3 linked regions of the Nothobranchius furzeri genome follow. The protein of the gene in region 1 interacts with the protein of each later gene in a pairwise test. Links are inferred from orthologs where the notes say so. Each region holds a gene or a part of one and is shown on either strand. Other genes may lie near its edges. The genes, in order: ube2d4, rnf25 and amfra.

The links.
Region 2: the proteins of ube2d4 (region 1) and rnf25 interact in binary tests that used the Homo sapiens proteins (3 or more experiments, as listed by UniProt). The link is inferred for Nothobranchius furzeri from reciprocal best matches to the Homo sapiens genes UBE2D4 and RNF25.
Region 3: the proteins of ube2d4 (region 1) and amfra interact in a two-hybrid assay, tested with the Homo sapiens proteins (2 studies listed by BioGRID and IntAct). The link is inferred for Nothobranchius furzeri from reciprocal best matches to the Homo sapiens genes UBE2D4 and AMFR.

What each region holds. Positions count from the first base shown.
Region 1 is NC_091757.1:38,231,081-38,234,650, forward strand, and holds the start of ube2d4 (ubiquitin-conjugating enzyme E2 D4), read left to right. Parts: upstream 1-770; 5' UTR 771-1,037; coding exon 1,038-1,061; intron 1,062-3,570. UniProt on the Homo sapiens protein: Accepts ubiquitin from the E1 complex and catalyzes its covalent attachment to other proteins. In vitro able to promote polyubiquitination using all 7 ubiquitin Lys residues, but may prefer 'Lys-11' and 'Lys-48'-linked polyubiquitination.
Region 2 is NC_091745.1:17,479,773-17,483,372, forward strand, and holds the start of rnf25 (E3 ubiquitin-protein ligase RNF25), read right to left. Parts: upstream 2,502-3,600; 5' UTR 2,325-2,501; coding exon 2,212-2,324; intron 1,998-2,211; coding exon 1,926-1,997; intron 1,478-1,925; coding exon 1,381-1,477; intron 1,056-1,380; coding exon 988-1,055; intron 898-987; coding exon 828-897; intron 749-827; coding exon 677-748; intron 545-676; coding exon 398-544; intron 331-397; coding exon 241-330; intron 170-240; coding exon 32-169; intron 1-31. Other genes in the region: anapc2 (anaphase-promoting complex subunit 2), read left to right, coding at 3,056-3,154. UniProt on the Homo sapiens protein: E3 ubiquitin-protein ligase that plays a key role in the RNF14-RNF25 translation quality control pathway, a pathway that takes place when a ribosome has stalled during translation, and which promotes ubiquitination and degradation of translation factors on stalled ribosomes.
Region 3 is NC_091749.1:54,390,624-54,398,952, reverse strand, and holds the start of amfra (E3 ubiquitin-protein ligase AMFR), read right to left. Parts: upstream 4,414-8,329; 5' UTR 4,274-4,413; intron 3,809-4,273; 5' UTR 3,752-3,808; coding exon 3,494-3,751; intron 3,402-3,493; coding exon 3,309-3,401; intron 3,191-3,308; coding exon 3,026-3,190; intron 1-3,025. UniProt on the Homo sapiens protein: E3 ubiquitin-protein ligase that mediates the polyubiquitination of lysine and cysteine residues on target proteins, such as CD3D, CYP3A4, CFTR, INSIG1, SOAT2/ACAT2 and APOB for proteasomal degradation.

The sequences.
Region 1 (3,570 bases):
ATAGCGGTGTCAGATTCTGAGCAACTACAGCAATCAATTTCCCTCTGGGATTAATAACGTATTTTTGAACTGAATTTAATTAAAATTCAAATGCAGTGCAGAGTTTTTACCCGACAACAGCACAACACTGACAGTTTTAGGCAGAAAATTTAAATTTTAACTAAATTGCACTAAAGTGCAAAACTATTGACTGCATGTGTCTGCAGCATGATTAGACACGCATTTATATAGTTTATCAGGGAAAAAAAGGTTGATTTGGGGTGACTTGCTCTTTAACAACAGCCTCATCACTCCTACTAAATTTTGGCTTGCCATTGTTAAAACAAAATACAGAAAGACAAAATTGCGAAATTGCCCATCTGGATAAAGTGAATTTGATTGGGGTTAGAAAATAAGTAATCATTCATCTATCACCCACATGCAGTAAGTAGCTATTTTCATGTCACTAAAATGCATTAATGTTTTACTGAACTGAAGAGGGAATTGGGGGCCCAGTGTATCCCATATTTGTCAATCTTAGTATTTTTATACGCTTTTTCGATAAGCCTAAGCACTTTTGAAACCTGTACTTTTTACTTCTACCCAAGTATCATGCTTGAATTGATCCTTCAACTTCAACAGAAGTCTTTAAACCCCCTAGTATCTAAACTTGAGTAGTAAATATGTATATTTTTAAAGCCTCTGTTCTGTAGTCAATAAAATGACCCTTAAAATAGAAATCGTGACACTACCGACAGTGCCATTGTAGTTTTTAAACGAAAGCTCGCGATAGTAACTGTTTTCTCGGCACCGAGAAGAGAGAGGAATAGAAAGCTAAATATCTAAGTTGTTTTGTAGCTCTCTGACGAACCGAAAATTAATAGGTCGTGGGGAAATATTTGTCATAGAGCGAAAAAGCCGAAATTTACTGGATGTTAGACGTAATTTCATACCTGTAACTGAAGTGAGGTTTGATAGAACGCGGCTACAGAATCCAAATTGTATGTCTAAGGTGCTAACTGTTAGCTGACAGGCTACCTAGCATAGCCGCCGAAGCAATGGCGTTGAAAAGAATTCAGAAGGTGAGTGTTTATATTTATTAAGTTTAAGACATGATTCAGATTCGATTTTTCTTCCTCTTTTCGAACCGTTTTGATAAAGTACATGTGTGTGGTGTTTTAGAGGTGAACTAGCTACGCCGTTGAGCGTTTTGTTCATTTAAAAAATAATTCAAAGACAAAGGCGAGCTGACCAACGGTGGCCCGGTTTGTGCTTGGCTAACATTAACGTAACTACCCAATTAAGCTTTCATTTGGGTTATTACATCCTGCTCGTCTGACATTTTTCATATTAATCCTGAAACTTTGATAAGGACTCTGGAGTAAGAAGTTGTTACTGTTACTTCGTGGGAGGTTAGCTTTCCTGCTAACGGTTGTAACGTGTAGTCCTTGCCTGGATTTTGTTCTTGATCACTAATTTATCAGTCACATTTATCGTTTTAGTTTACCTTGTAAAATTATGTATGACGACGTATAAATTCGCTGAATGACAGCTGCTCGATTGTTGCCAAAACTGAACCCTAGAGTCAGTGTTGCCATATATGGAATGGCAAATGGGGCACTGGAACAGGCCATGGTGTGTATTTATATAATAGGCTTCCTTACATGAGATGTTAAATAACAGGCTTAATTTCTGTTCAAGCACCGTGTTTTGCTGTCTGTGCTTTTGTGTGTGATGCAAATGTAGATTGGTTACTTGGGCTGTGGACTGAGTTAATTTGATTTAGTTTCGTTTTTGTCCATTTTGTGTTGTATTTTTAATATTTGTAGTTATTATGTGTTTGCTAAACTAAACAGCTTGTCCTTATTTTCTGGAAGTATGTCTATAAAACAACATTTTGTGTTGCACAATGATGTCATGTCTGAAGTTGAATTTTATTTGTACTGAAGATAAAAGAGGAAAAGTGTTGCAAATAGGGCTGCACTGTGCATCGCAAATGTATCGTCATCACACTATCAGCATACACAATACTCATATTGCAAAGAACAGAAAAAAACTGCAATAAAGGATCATCTTAATTTTTTTCTACACATAATAAAGCATATTGTCAGTCAAACTGAAGCATTACGTTTTTGACTGATCAAATAGTCCTTCACCTGTTTGGCCAATTGGGTGAGTTCTTATAGGTTAGATACCGCCACCTAGGTAGACAGCACTTCATTTGGATGGCTAGCAAACACCAGAGTTAGCTGTGTTCTGCTCTTTCTGCCGACTATTCTTTTCCTGGGATCCCCTGAGTCTTTATTTTATTTTTATGATTTGGTTTTTGATACATTTTTTTTGTTCTTGAGTTACTATTTATGTATTGCAAGTCATATAATCATCGCAAAAATAATCACTGTAATTGTGCATCGTAGGTTTTCCTAATATTGTGCAGCCCTAGTGTTAAATACATTGTTTTGCAGGAACTTCAACCACAAGTTGTTGTAGGAATGTATAAATGAATATAAAACTTTGCAGCTCTGACAAATACCTCTCCATATCTTTAAACCGCAGATGTTACAGTGCTTGCTTTAACAGATATGTTCACATAAATGAACCCTGCTGTATGTTTATTGCAGCATTTAATTTGTAACTGTTACTTACACAAGCTGTTGTCTTTTTTTCCCTAATATATGAACTTGAGAAACTGAAAAGGCACATTTTGTAGTAAAAGCATGAAATTCTGCAAAAGTGTTTTAAAGAGCAAGTCAAAGAATGGTGATGTAGGACTTGGGAGTGCAGGCTGCTGCCTGAGGGGTGGTTGGAGACGGTGTCTCCATGCTGCTTTGTTTTGGTCACTTATGTGCGTGAGGCGAGTGGTGTTACGACCCTTCCTGGGGAGTTTGGCTCGTGTGCAAAAAGGAAGGGACAATAACACAGGATTTAAAAGTTAAAATGATGATCAGGTTTATTTACAACAACAACAAAAAACCATAAATCTTTCCATCCACAGGTTGGGAATAATAAAACTAATTCTGCCTGTGGGGAATTAAAACAAAAGTACAAATAACTAGGGATGTCCCGCAGGGCAAAGATTACTGGGTTCTGGACCAAAATAAGAATCTCCAAAGGTCCAAACTCTAAACTGGGTGGTTAAACCAAACTCAAGGTGAAATTTTAAACTAAACCGAAAACCCACGACACTCTAAATGTAATAAAAGGGAGATCTACGCCACAAAAAAGATGAACTCTAAACCAAATCGTAACAGCTTATCCTATCGCAAGAAGCTGTTAGCGAAAATGCTAACAGTAGCTTTACCAACATTAAGTTCAAGTTACCAAGTTTAAATAAACCAAAAATACCCAGCAGCAAACAGACCAGCATGGAGGAGAGACTGCTACCACAAAAACAGCTCTCCTAATGTCTGAAAGAAGCTCCTTTATGAAGGGAGAAACTCTCCCGGTGATTTTCTACATCTGCGGTAGACACGAAGCAGCGCATTTGATCCCAGAAGTTGTTGTCCGTTGCCGGGAGATGAAGGCGGGCAAAACAGGCAAAGAATCTAGTAGCAGACGGACATTGTTCCAGTTCTTCGGTATTTGGCGGAG
Region 2 (3,600 bases), on another chromosome or scaffold:
AACATTCTTTTGAGTCCGACTTCATTCTTACCTCGTGGATATGAATCAAAAAGCGATTTGACTCCACCTCAGGGTCGATGATCCCACCTTTAGATCTTTGTTTCTCCAACAGCTTCTGGAGCTCACGCCACTTCTGCTGAAAGTCTGACCCGACCGCTGCCTCGTCGAGCTGAGAGGAGAAGCCTGTTAGGTTTCTGTCACTGATGAGGGGCACGTCAGGTCTGTAAATCAGAGTTTTACCTCAGGCAGCTGTGGTGCAGGAGATGACAACAGCTGATCGATGTCATACATGAGAGGCTCTCGGCACACCGGGCACAGCACAGTCAGCTCCTGTCAGACAATCAGAGTAAGGACTCAGGAGACCTTGGACTTTGGTTGGCGTGTGCCGATTTGTGACCTGATGGTCGGTTTTGTCCCTGGTCTTGTCCTCCTCCAGCTCCCTCCTCCTCTGGCGGAGCTCCCTCTCAGAGTGACTGGCGTAGCGGCCGAGACAGTGAGAGTGGAAGTAGTGATAGCAGCTCGTCTTGGTGAACGCCTCGCCCTCCTGAGGGAGCACAATTCATGAAGAGTGTTTATAACCGACTGTTAAATCTTTGGATTAAAGTTCAGACGCCAAACGAACAGCACAGATCAGAGCAAATGGTCATGACAGGCGGGCAGATGGGAAACAGCTTACCTTAAAATCATACAGGCAGATGACGCAGTTTCCATGAGGAATGTTGCTTTCAGTCAGGATCTCTTTTGCTTTCTGAAGGAGAAAAACAGTGAAGAAAATCAGTGAACAGAGAACACGGAGTATTATATAACAGGTGGATTCATGTTCTGACCTCGATGAGCTGGTATAAGACTGGTGAACCGAGCCACGACTCAGCCTCCAGCTGAAGACATTTTTGGACGCTGAGCAGAAAAACTCAGATTTGTAAAAGATTTTAAGCAGAATGTGGGCAGTTTCTTTGGAATGAAGCTGTGAATAAAACATCGTGTTACCTGCTGAGTATATCGTCAGAAAGCCCACGGGGGTTACGGATGGAGATGACAGGAGATGATGAGGGGTACTGAACCAACAGAGACAGCAGAGTGAGTCAGATCCAGTTAGAGAGAGAACAATGAAATAATGACTTTGTTAGTCTGGAGCAGGCTGTAGCCTGTTGTAATCTAAAGGGCACGAGTCATAAAATGTCGTGTAATAATATTATACAAGACAAACACCGAAGGTTATGTTTGCCCCTAGAGAGGCACTAGCTTCTGAAGCCAAGACATGTGCTTAGTTTGTTTTCCAAAACAAATATCACATTTTTTGGTTTATTATTAAAAATGTGTATGATCTACGTCTGCACTAACCGTTGTCTGTGCACACACATGAGGTAACCTCGGACATACCTGCTGATTGAGGGTCAAAGTCAGAGTGAGTCGGACAAACTGAGACACAGAGTCCTCCGCCGTGGATGGGTACAGAACCAGACTCACCTCCCAGCTCCTGTAGCAAAAACACAACAGCAGACACACGAAGGTAGTTAAAGCCCCACCAAATTAAAATATGTTTCTAGACATTTCTGCTTAGGACCAAATGAGAACCACTATTGTCTACTCAGTTTAATGAATACACTGGCTGCACTTTCCAATTCATCACTCAGTCATTTCCTGGAAAAATAGATACTATTATGTTTGTTTTGATTGCTAATAATTTTTTATACAGATGCATTTAATTCTGGTTGACTGTCATTAAATTAAACCCATGGTAAGAGTTAAAAAATATATATACATATATATAACATAATCAGCTGAGTTTTTTCCCATCAAATAGATTTGGGAGACATTCTTATCCCTTTGTTGCAAATATTTAACGTCTTCATATCATTATTTGCTCACATATAACCCAACCAGTGATTTATAACACAAAGATGTTCTGAAATGAGCAGATTTACCCCTCGTCCCTTCTGTCCACCTTCAGCTCGTCCAGATAGATGGACTGCAGAACCTCGATCTCAGACTGAACACTGTAAACAAAAACGGTTTTCGGCTTATTTACTGTTTTTAGCCTGGCCCTTTTGACGTAACCTGTTAGCTTCCCCTTCAGCTAGCTACAACACCTACGACATTTCATCCGATTGTACCGAGAACAGCAAACCTTAATGTGCGGGAGCGTGCGGGTAAAATTCAAAGCGTGTCATGAATATTTTGAAGGAATTTTTGCCATATCAACAAACTCACTCGTACTCGGTTGCCATGATGATGTCTCTGCTGCTAGCTGCTGCTAAGGCGGATACGGTTTTCACACAACCTGTCAAAATAAGAGACACGACGGCGTTTAAAAGACATGTCATGATCCAGTTTTTAAAAATGTTTATTTATTTATTTATTATTTATAGCTGTATTTGTGTGCATTAAGCATCTATGGTCTAAGGAGCTTTGTCTTCAAGCAACTCAAAGAAGTCCAGACGCTTTTCTTTCAAAGCTCCTTAGACTACAATGACCTGGATGACTGAGAACCTTCACAGACATTAAGCATCTATATTACTCTCTAAGATATGTCGAAATATTTATTGATATTAACATCCGTTTCGAAAGATTTTATTTAAATTTTATACAAAAATAAGTACAGTTTCATAACATTTGGCCTTTACTGACACCTGGTGGAGTTTGTATAAGCAATTTTGAAATGTTTTATTTTGTAGTTCAGTTCTGTCAACTTGTGTCTGTGGCCGGCTGTAGTGATTATTCTAACCGCTAGAGGGGGCGAGTAAACATTAAAACCGATTCAAACTCAACAAATACTTTTTACGGACGGTACCTGCAGGGGGCAGTGTCCACCCCTGTAGCATGTAAGTGATAAAAAAAAGTAGAAGAAGTCAACCCGCCATACCATGTTCATATCTGTATTGTAAATTACTATTTGCTTGAATGGAAAAGTTATTATTTAGTAAACTCGTTGAAACACGGTTGAGACACGGGGCATGCTTTTTACACATAGCGCCGCGGTAAGACAAGACATGCTGAGGTTTAAATGCTGAATCTACAGGAGCCGGTTCGGCATTTGTGAAGAAAGTGTCATAAAATGGAGGAAATGATGATGGAATCGGATTCGGTGGAAATGTCTGAGCCCGGAGCGCTCCAGGGGCTCGCTGAGGCGTGGGAATCCGTGACTGCAGCTTTGGTGAGTGGGTCAGAGCCTCGGACACGAGCAACCAAACACTGAATGAAGTGCTGTCACAAGACTCCATTCGTAAATCACACGATTGAATGATGTTTTGGATTTTACATTGGTTTATTAAGGGCTAGACACAAAACTGGCGTTATAAATAGTCAGCAGGAGTATTCGGTGGATTTCGGCTTACATTTGTTGACGTCATCGTGTTTACTGACAACTTTACTCCATGCAAAGAAAAATGGGTTGACTACTAACAACTCAATATTCATAAGTTTGAGTCAGCCATTTAGTTAAAAACAAACACAAATGACATGTCGAAAAAGGCTTATATTAAACACCTATATTATAATAAAATGTGTATTTTATGTTGGAAATGATTTTGCTCTTTTACTCAGTTCTGATTCCATCTCTCATCCATTCCTACATTAACCACCTGCCCCTGAATACCAGAC
Region 3 (8,329 bases), on another chromosome or scaffold:
GGGGATGCAGACTTCACCTTTCAACAGGACTTGGCACCTGCACACAGTGCCAAAACCACCAGCACCTGGTTCAAGGACCATGGTATCCCTGTCCTTGATTGGCCAGCAAACTCGCCTGACCTTAACCCCATAGAAAATCTATGGGGTATTGTGAAGCGGAGGATGCAATACGCTAGACCCAACAATGCAGAGGATCTGAAGACGACTATCAGAGCAACCTGGGCTCTCATAACACCTGAGCAGTGCCACAGACTGATCGAGTCCATGCCACACCGCATTACTGCAGTTATTGAGGCAAAAGGAGCCCCGACTAAGTATTGAGTGCTATACATGCACATTCTTTTCATGTTCATTCTTTTCAGTTGGCCAACATTAGAGAAACAAACATTTTTTCATTGGCCTTTAGAATATTCTAATTTTCTGAGATACCAGATTTGATGTTTTCATTGGTTGTCACCTATAAATATCAAAATTAAACGTAATAAACATCGGAAATACATTGGTCTGTGTGCATTGCATGAATATAATGTACAAGTTTCACGTTTTGAATGGAATTACTGAAATATTTTCAACCTTTTGATGATATTCTAATTTACTGGCCAGCACCTGTAATATGGAGTTGATGGTAATTGAAAAAGTAGCTTGAGATATTTTTAGACCCAACTACCGTATTTGTTTCTAATTCACCATTAGCATTGTTAGCTCACCATTAGCCTCTAGCCTGATTCATCTGATGTTGGGAGTAAAACAAAAAGATGCCATGACTTCTTAGGGGTACAAGAAAGAACTTCTGGGTTGCTGCTGTTTACTGGCTTTAGTTTTATAAATAACTCTGGTGCCAAATTACAAATGTGAATGCTACAGGGTTAGACTGGCACAGACTTGGAAACCTCACAGGTTCTGCTTCAATGGAAACCTTCCTTCCAACAAGAGTGAGGCATAAGACTGTTTTGTTATTTCTTTGCAGAATTCTTACATATTGCTCCTTTAATTCCTGACTTTTTTTTTTGAACAGATGAACTTATTAATCTAACTTTTGGTTAAACCAAACCACACATGCATAGCAAGTCTGTATCTTCATGATTGTTTTCTACTCATGATCCAGTTTGGTTTTCTAGAATGTTCTGTAGGTCTCTTTGTAATGAAGCATTGTGGGAAAGATGATGTCAGCACATTAAGAAATGGGCCTATAAGATCAGGATTTCTGGGGAAACCTGAAAAGTCTCACAGGATTCAACATAAAATGTGTGGATAAATCACAAATAAAAACTCTAGTATATGTTCCACCTCATGTGTGCTGTCAAAGCACTTTGTTAAAGATAAACATTAAAAATAAAGCATTGGCTTAGATAAAAGCTGAAGGTTTGACAATATGTATATATTGTATGTATGTTGATGGGTTTGACAGAAAACAGAAACAAATAGAATCAAGAAGCACCTGAAAGTCTGAAGCTTCTGTTTTCAGTATAAATGACTGACTTCCCTCTTTTGCTTTTTGTTGTGCATTTTGAAACATGCTGTAAAACTCAACCTTGTTTGCAAAACAATTAAAAATACACAATATGCACTATATAAGCACATTGTAAATGTTTTTTACTCAGACACGTCTGTAGAAACATTCCAGGGTGACATACACCAATGTCCTTTGCACTCCTGACAAATGACACTTTGCTGCACCTCCTCCTTCGTGCTTCATGCTGTAAACGCATCCCTCCAGCAGAAAACCTCCCACTGTGACATATGTGTGTAAACAGCACATGTGGGGGAAAGTCTGCACACCCTTCTGAACACCTCTGGTGTTCAACTGTACAAGAAAAAACAATGTTTTTTTCCACAGAGTTGGGGACAACTTTCAACTCTAGGTTCAAAGCAGTTAACTGTCCTATTAAAAACAGGAGAAAACTAAAGGTGGTTCAGTTGCTAAAAGTAAGAAAAGCAAGTTGTACGACATGCATACGATCCAAAAACTCAAATATAATAATAATCCTTCAAAGGTTTCCCCTAATATCATGTACAGCCCACAAAATAAATTATTTAGGAACTACTTATGATAATTACAACAGCTGAGCTACAAGACATGACATGGGTGTCATATGTACCACACAATCTCACCAAATTACCCAAAACACACGCCAAATCTTTTATCTAGAGCTGCTGAATGTGCCATATACCCCCAAAGGCACAAACCTGCAGACGGATGGAAACAGGAAAACAGCTGGGTTGAACATAACCGACGTGCTTGAGTTTATAAAGACAAAGACCATCTCATTGTTTTATATGAAGAGAAAGTGTGTGTAATATAAAATATTTACACAAAACAGGTAGAAAAAAATAACTAGTCACTGTTACATTATAGCTACATTATGTTTAGGAGTTTTTCTTAAATGTCACAGCTTGCATGATGGTAATTCAATTTGATATTTTGTTTTTCTCATCTTGTGAGACAGGAGAGTGTTAATGTAGCAACTGAAACTCTACCAGCAGGCAAACATGTCAGAATATGGAGCTATTTATAGAGCTGGAGCTGGAATAAGTACATCTGCACTCAGACTTCTGAAGGACTTTCAGGGTGCAAAGAGGTTTGTTAGTTGGATTTACTCAAAAATCATGTATTTTTACTTTTTTACAATTTAAATCTTAATGAAACAAGACATATCCTGTGTGCAAAACAAAGGAGAAGGTTTTAAATTGCGGTATTTAGGTATTTTATTGAATAGACTGAACTCCTTCTGCTAGAAAATATTTAAAAACACATTTAGATTTTTGATTTTTAATTTTCTATACATTTAAAGTGATAACAAGCTGCATGTGGTGGTGTGTAAATGATTGAAAACCACTGAAACATACAAAAACAATGCAGTCCCATGCAACCAAAATGTTGGTATTCTCAAATTAACCAGTTTTACTTAATTCTCAATTGGAGCTAATAACTTGCAAACCTGTATAATTCAGCCCTTGATGACCCTGAAACATGTATGGGGAGGTGGATGCAGTGAAAAGAGATGGTGTGATAAAACATACTTACATATTCAAAACGATCTTTGCAGAGCTGTACCATGAGATGTAGAAAAACGAGGGCAGAGAACCACAAGCACCACATGACCACCTCCTCCACAGTTTGCACGTTCAATACTCCAAATATGAAAATGAACTTGTAAAAGATGAAATTCCAGAATTTATCCTTGAGATGCTGGGAGAAAAATAAAAAGCAAAATAAGATGCTTTTTTCTGACAATAAGCACTAAGTAAGTTGTACATTTTAGAAAATATATTTATTCCAGATATTTGAGCAAAACAAACAGATTCACCTGCTTTTCAATGACTCTGAGTGGCCCAAACACCACATACTGGATCATTTTAGCAATTAACATTAAAGAACAGCAGAATGTGTTGACCAAGACCTGCAAGAATGTGGAGAGTGGCATGATTATTAGTTTATTGCATGAGGAATATTATATCACCTGTGAAAACTCGTAATGGGAAGGATGCTCACCCATACAAAGAGACTGTCAGTAACAAGATACCACAGGACAGTTCTTGCCAAGTCTGTGTTGCTAACTGCACTACTTAGATGATGTTCAAGGTTAAATTCGGATGGAGCTGGTGTATCCTCGGTCTCCAAGGCCCCAAAGCCCGGGTCAGTGACAGTAGTGTAGGCACTGAAGATGCTTCCAGCCAGCAAAGCCACACTCAGGGCTGTGTAGGTCTGCAAGCTGGGCCATGGAAACCTCTCCATAAACAGCAGAGGCATTGCAGTGCTTGCGGTCCACTTCCTGACTTGTAAAAACTATGTCACTCCACCACCTGCCTGGGAGGGAGTTAGCAAAGGTTAGCCAAACTTTAATGAGCAAGGTGTGAGCACTATATAATCACCCTTGTGCTGGCGATCGCAGTTACTTAATTAGGGATAAACACATGCAACAAGCGGCCATTTCGAGGGTGTTATACTATCTTTACCTTTTTAAAACTAAAAGAAAGGCTAAAATGAGAAAATGGCTAGGCTAACCTCCAGATGAGGATCGACAATCCCATTGCTAGTGAAGTAAAACCGCAGCTTAATTAAAAATAATGTAATAAAATGTATAACTGGGTGGCTGAAATTGCAAACAGTATCAAAGGAGAATAAAAAATAAACAATAGTATTTCACGCCCAAAAGTGTTAAGTTATTTCCCTAGTGTTGCCTAATGCTAGCTTTCAAGCTAGCTGACGTTAGCTACGTACTTACGCGTTGTTGATAAACTCCTAATAGGCCTGTGTTGGGTTGCCACTTACAGATAGCCACAAAGGTAAACACGAGATCCAGGGTGGTGTGCTCTGAGCTGGGCTGGACTTTACGGGTTCTACACGAAAAACACAGCAGTCGTCAACATTGTTGTTGTTTATCTCACCGACAGTTAGCAGGCAACTAGCCGAGATATGACGTCATCGGGACAAATTTAAAGTCACAGTAATGGAAAATAACCCGACCTTACCAGCTCCGTCATTCATTCATTCATTCATTCATTCATTCACCGCTACAATTTGCAACATATCGTAATGTTTTAACTGCTGTGGTTTTTTTCTCGAGGAAAATTGAAATAGGTACGGAATCTTCACTTAGTGTTTAAGACAGTTTATGGTTAATCATTTATTTTGCATTAAGTTTTTTTTTATGTCAGCTGGTTTAAAAGGAAAAAACTAATGTTGAGACTCTGCATTTCTGCAAAATCAAAAAAGTTTCCTGGCAAGCCCTATTTATGTGAATATATATGCAGAGATGCAGTGCAACATCGTTTTGCTTCGGCTACACTCTGTCTAGACTTCTAGGCTAATCCATGCTTGCTGTTATTGAATTTTTATTAATTTCATTGCTATTTTAATTTTTAATTCAAGCAAAATGATATGTGGAGAAATATATTTCACTTCTGTCTATGCTGAAACTGTATCATGGAGGTGATTAAAAACAACTGACTTGAACTAATACAAACCCACTGCCCATTTTATAGAAGCGCCTTGCTTGTACCAGGTTGGTCTCTATTTTGCCTTCGAAGGGCCTTTATTCTTCTTGCCATAGGTTCATCAAGGTGGAAATATTCCTCAGAGGTTCTAGTTCATGACATTATAGCAGCACAGACGCGAATTTACAGGGAGTGCTGAATTATTAGGCAAATGAGTATTTTGTCCACATCATCCTCTTCATGCATGTTGTCTTACTCCAAGCTGTATAGGCCCGAAAGCCTAATACCAATTTAGCATATTAGGTGATGTGCATCTCTGTAATGAGAAGGGGTGTGGTCTAATGATATCAACACCCTATATCAGGTGTGCGTAATTATTAGGCTACTTCCTTTCCTTTGGCAAAATGGGTCAAAAGAAGGACTTGGCAGGCTCAGAAAAGTAAAAAATGGTGAGATATCTTGCAGAGGGATGCAGCAGTCTTAAAATTGCAATGCTTCTGAAGCGTGATCATCGAACAATCAAGCGTTTCATTCTAAATAGTCAACAGGGTCGCAAGAAGCGTGTGGACAAACCAAGGCGCAAAATAACTGCCCGTGAACTGAGAAAAGTCAAGCGTGCAGCTGCCAAGATGACACTTGCCACCAGTTTGGCCATATTTCAGAGCTGCAACATCACTGGAGTGCCCAAAAGCACAAGGTGTGCGAAACTCAGAGACATGGCCAAGGTAAGAAAGGCTGAAAGACGACCACCACTGAACAAGACACACAAGCTGAAACGTCAAGACTGGGCCAAGAAATATCTCCAGACTGATTGTTCTAAGTTTTATGGACTGATGAAATGAGAGTGAGTCTTGATGGGCCAGATGGATGGGCCCGTGGCTGGATTGGTAAAGGGCAGAGAGCTCCATTCTGACTCAGACGCCAGCAAGGTGGAGGTGGAGTACTGGTTTGGGCTGGTATCATCAAAGATGAGCTTGTGGGGCCTTTTCGGGTTGAGGATGGAGTCAAGCTCAACTCCCAGTCCTACAGCCAGTTTCTGGAAGACACCTTCTTCAAGCAGTGGTACAGGAAGAAGTCTACATCCTTCAAGAAAAACATGATTTTCATGCAGGACAACGCTCCATCACACGCGTCCAAGTACTCCAAAGTGTGGCTGGCAAGAAAGGGTATAAAAGAAGAAAAACTGATGACATGGCCTCCTTGTTCACCTGATCTGAACCCCATTGAGAACCTGTGGTCCATCATCAAATGTGAGATTTACAAGGAGGGAAAACAGTACACCTCTCTGAACAGTGTCTGGGAGGCTGTGGTTGCTGCTGCATGCAGTGTTGACGGTGAACAGATCAAAACACTGACAGAATCCATGAATGGTAGACTTTTGAGTGTCCTTGCAAAGAAAGGTGGCTATATTGGTCGCTGATTTGTTTTTGTATTGTTTTTGAATGTCAGAAATGTATATTTGGGAATGTGGATATGTTATATTGGTTTCACTGGTAAAAATAAATAATTGAAATGGGTATATATTTGTTTTTTGTTAAGTTGCCTAATAATTATGCACAGTAATAGTCACCTGCACACACACAGATATCCCCCTAAAATAGCTAAAACTAAAAAAAAACTAAGAACTACTTCCAAAAACATTCAGCTTTATTAATGAGTTTTTTGGGTTCATTGAGAACATGGTGGTTGTTCAATAATAAAATTATTCCTCAAAAATACAACTTGCCTAATCATTTTGCACTCCCTGTAAAGTTCTACCCAATTACAAAGGTGTTGGGGCTTTTTTTATAAAGTTTAATTTACAAACAAAACAGAAAGTCACTTAAGGCACTTTCTATACAAGACTTTGTGATTCATAGAAAACAAAAACATCACAGAAAATGTGCACAATTTCACACAAACTCTGACCCTTGCCTATGCACATCTTGGTAAAAAGTGCAGCTGATGAGACGGCAGAATGGTCAATTCAAGCCACATTTGTAGACTTGAACACACACACATCACATGTTTAAAGTCCCATATTATACACCCTCATATTAGTATTTACCCAGAAAATTTGCTTTGCTGTGCACCTGACTTGCTGACTTGGTTCGTTCAGTTGTTACCTGTAGTCAGCAGATTGGCCGCCATATGTGGAACTGCTATGATTGATTAGCGTCGTTGGCCAGCAGAGCAAGATGCACTTGTTTTTGTGATTTATACTCATTACCTATTATGATTTGTATTAGGGATGTCCCGTTTCGATGTCAGAAATAATTTGGTATCGGCACCAAAACAGTGTATTGGATTACATCAGACTGCATCAAAAATCTTCGATATGTTAAGATTCACATTTTTGCAACCAATGGTTAAAAAAAAAACAATTTTTTTTCATCCGTACTGGTATGGGCTCTTGTTCTTCGATTGAGTAATATCACTTGATCAAGCCTTTCATACATTCCACACTCCAAATTAGGTAAAAGTATGTATGTTTTGTGCTGATATCGTATTGGATTCATATCGGTATTGGTCAGTACTGAAAGTTGCAATATCGGTATCATATCGGAAGTGAAAAAATTGTATCGGGACATCCCTAATTTGTATTGCGGTGATGATTTGTGTTTGAATTGCTGCTCTCGATTTGTTTTGTACATGATTGTGTTTTGTACATTGTCATTTTCAGTTTTGACAGTGCAAAGTGCACGGTCTAAAGTGAATAACAAGAAAGAAAGAAACAATAAAGTTTATGCACCCATCAAGCCTCTTTTATGGTGCCAGGGGCAGCTACAGTGAAAACATATCCAGCGACAGCTCATCACAGCAGGACTTGTCGAGCAACAGTTAGGAAACAGCTTGATGCAGAACCATCAGGATTGCCTCTTTCCTTCCCTTCTAACCACCTCAGAAACTGTGAGTAGGAGATTCTTACGCCGCAGAATGCACCAGGACTCAACGCCTCCTTAGGAACCGTAAAATGGACTTTTTGCTGCACAGAGCAATCAAGAGTTAAAAATGTATGCTATGTTTTATTATTGGAATTGTTGGGTTGTAGTTATATGTGTCAGAATTAGGCATAAAACTATCTCTCAGAGCAAGCTCTAGAGAGAGCGTAAGGTAAATGAAAAAGTCAAAGAGATGAAAGAGCAGCAAAATGAGAAGAATCAAAAGTCTTTTTATAAGACGTACAACACATGGGGGGAGTTGGCAAGAGAAATGAGGACAAAGCTCAAAACTTTCTGAGGATCTTGACAAGCTGTTAAATGGTATTACAGCTAAATGAACCCCAGTGCACAATTTATATAAGGCTCTTTGTTAAGGTTATGTCACAGCCGCTGTCGGTACAAGATCTGCTCGGGTGCAAGATGAGTAAGGTCTAGTTGCAGACGCAGCCCCGACAAACCACGCCCCCGAC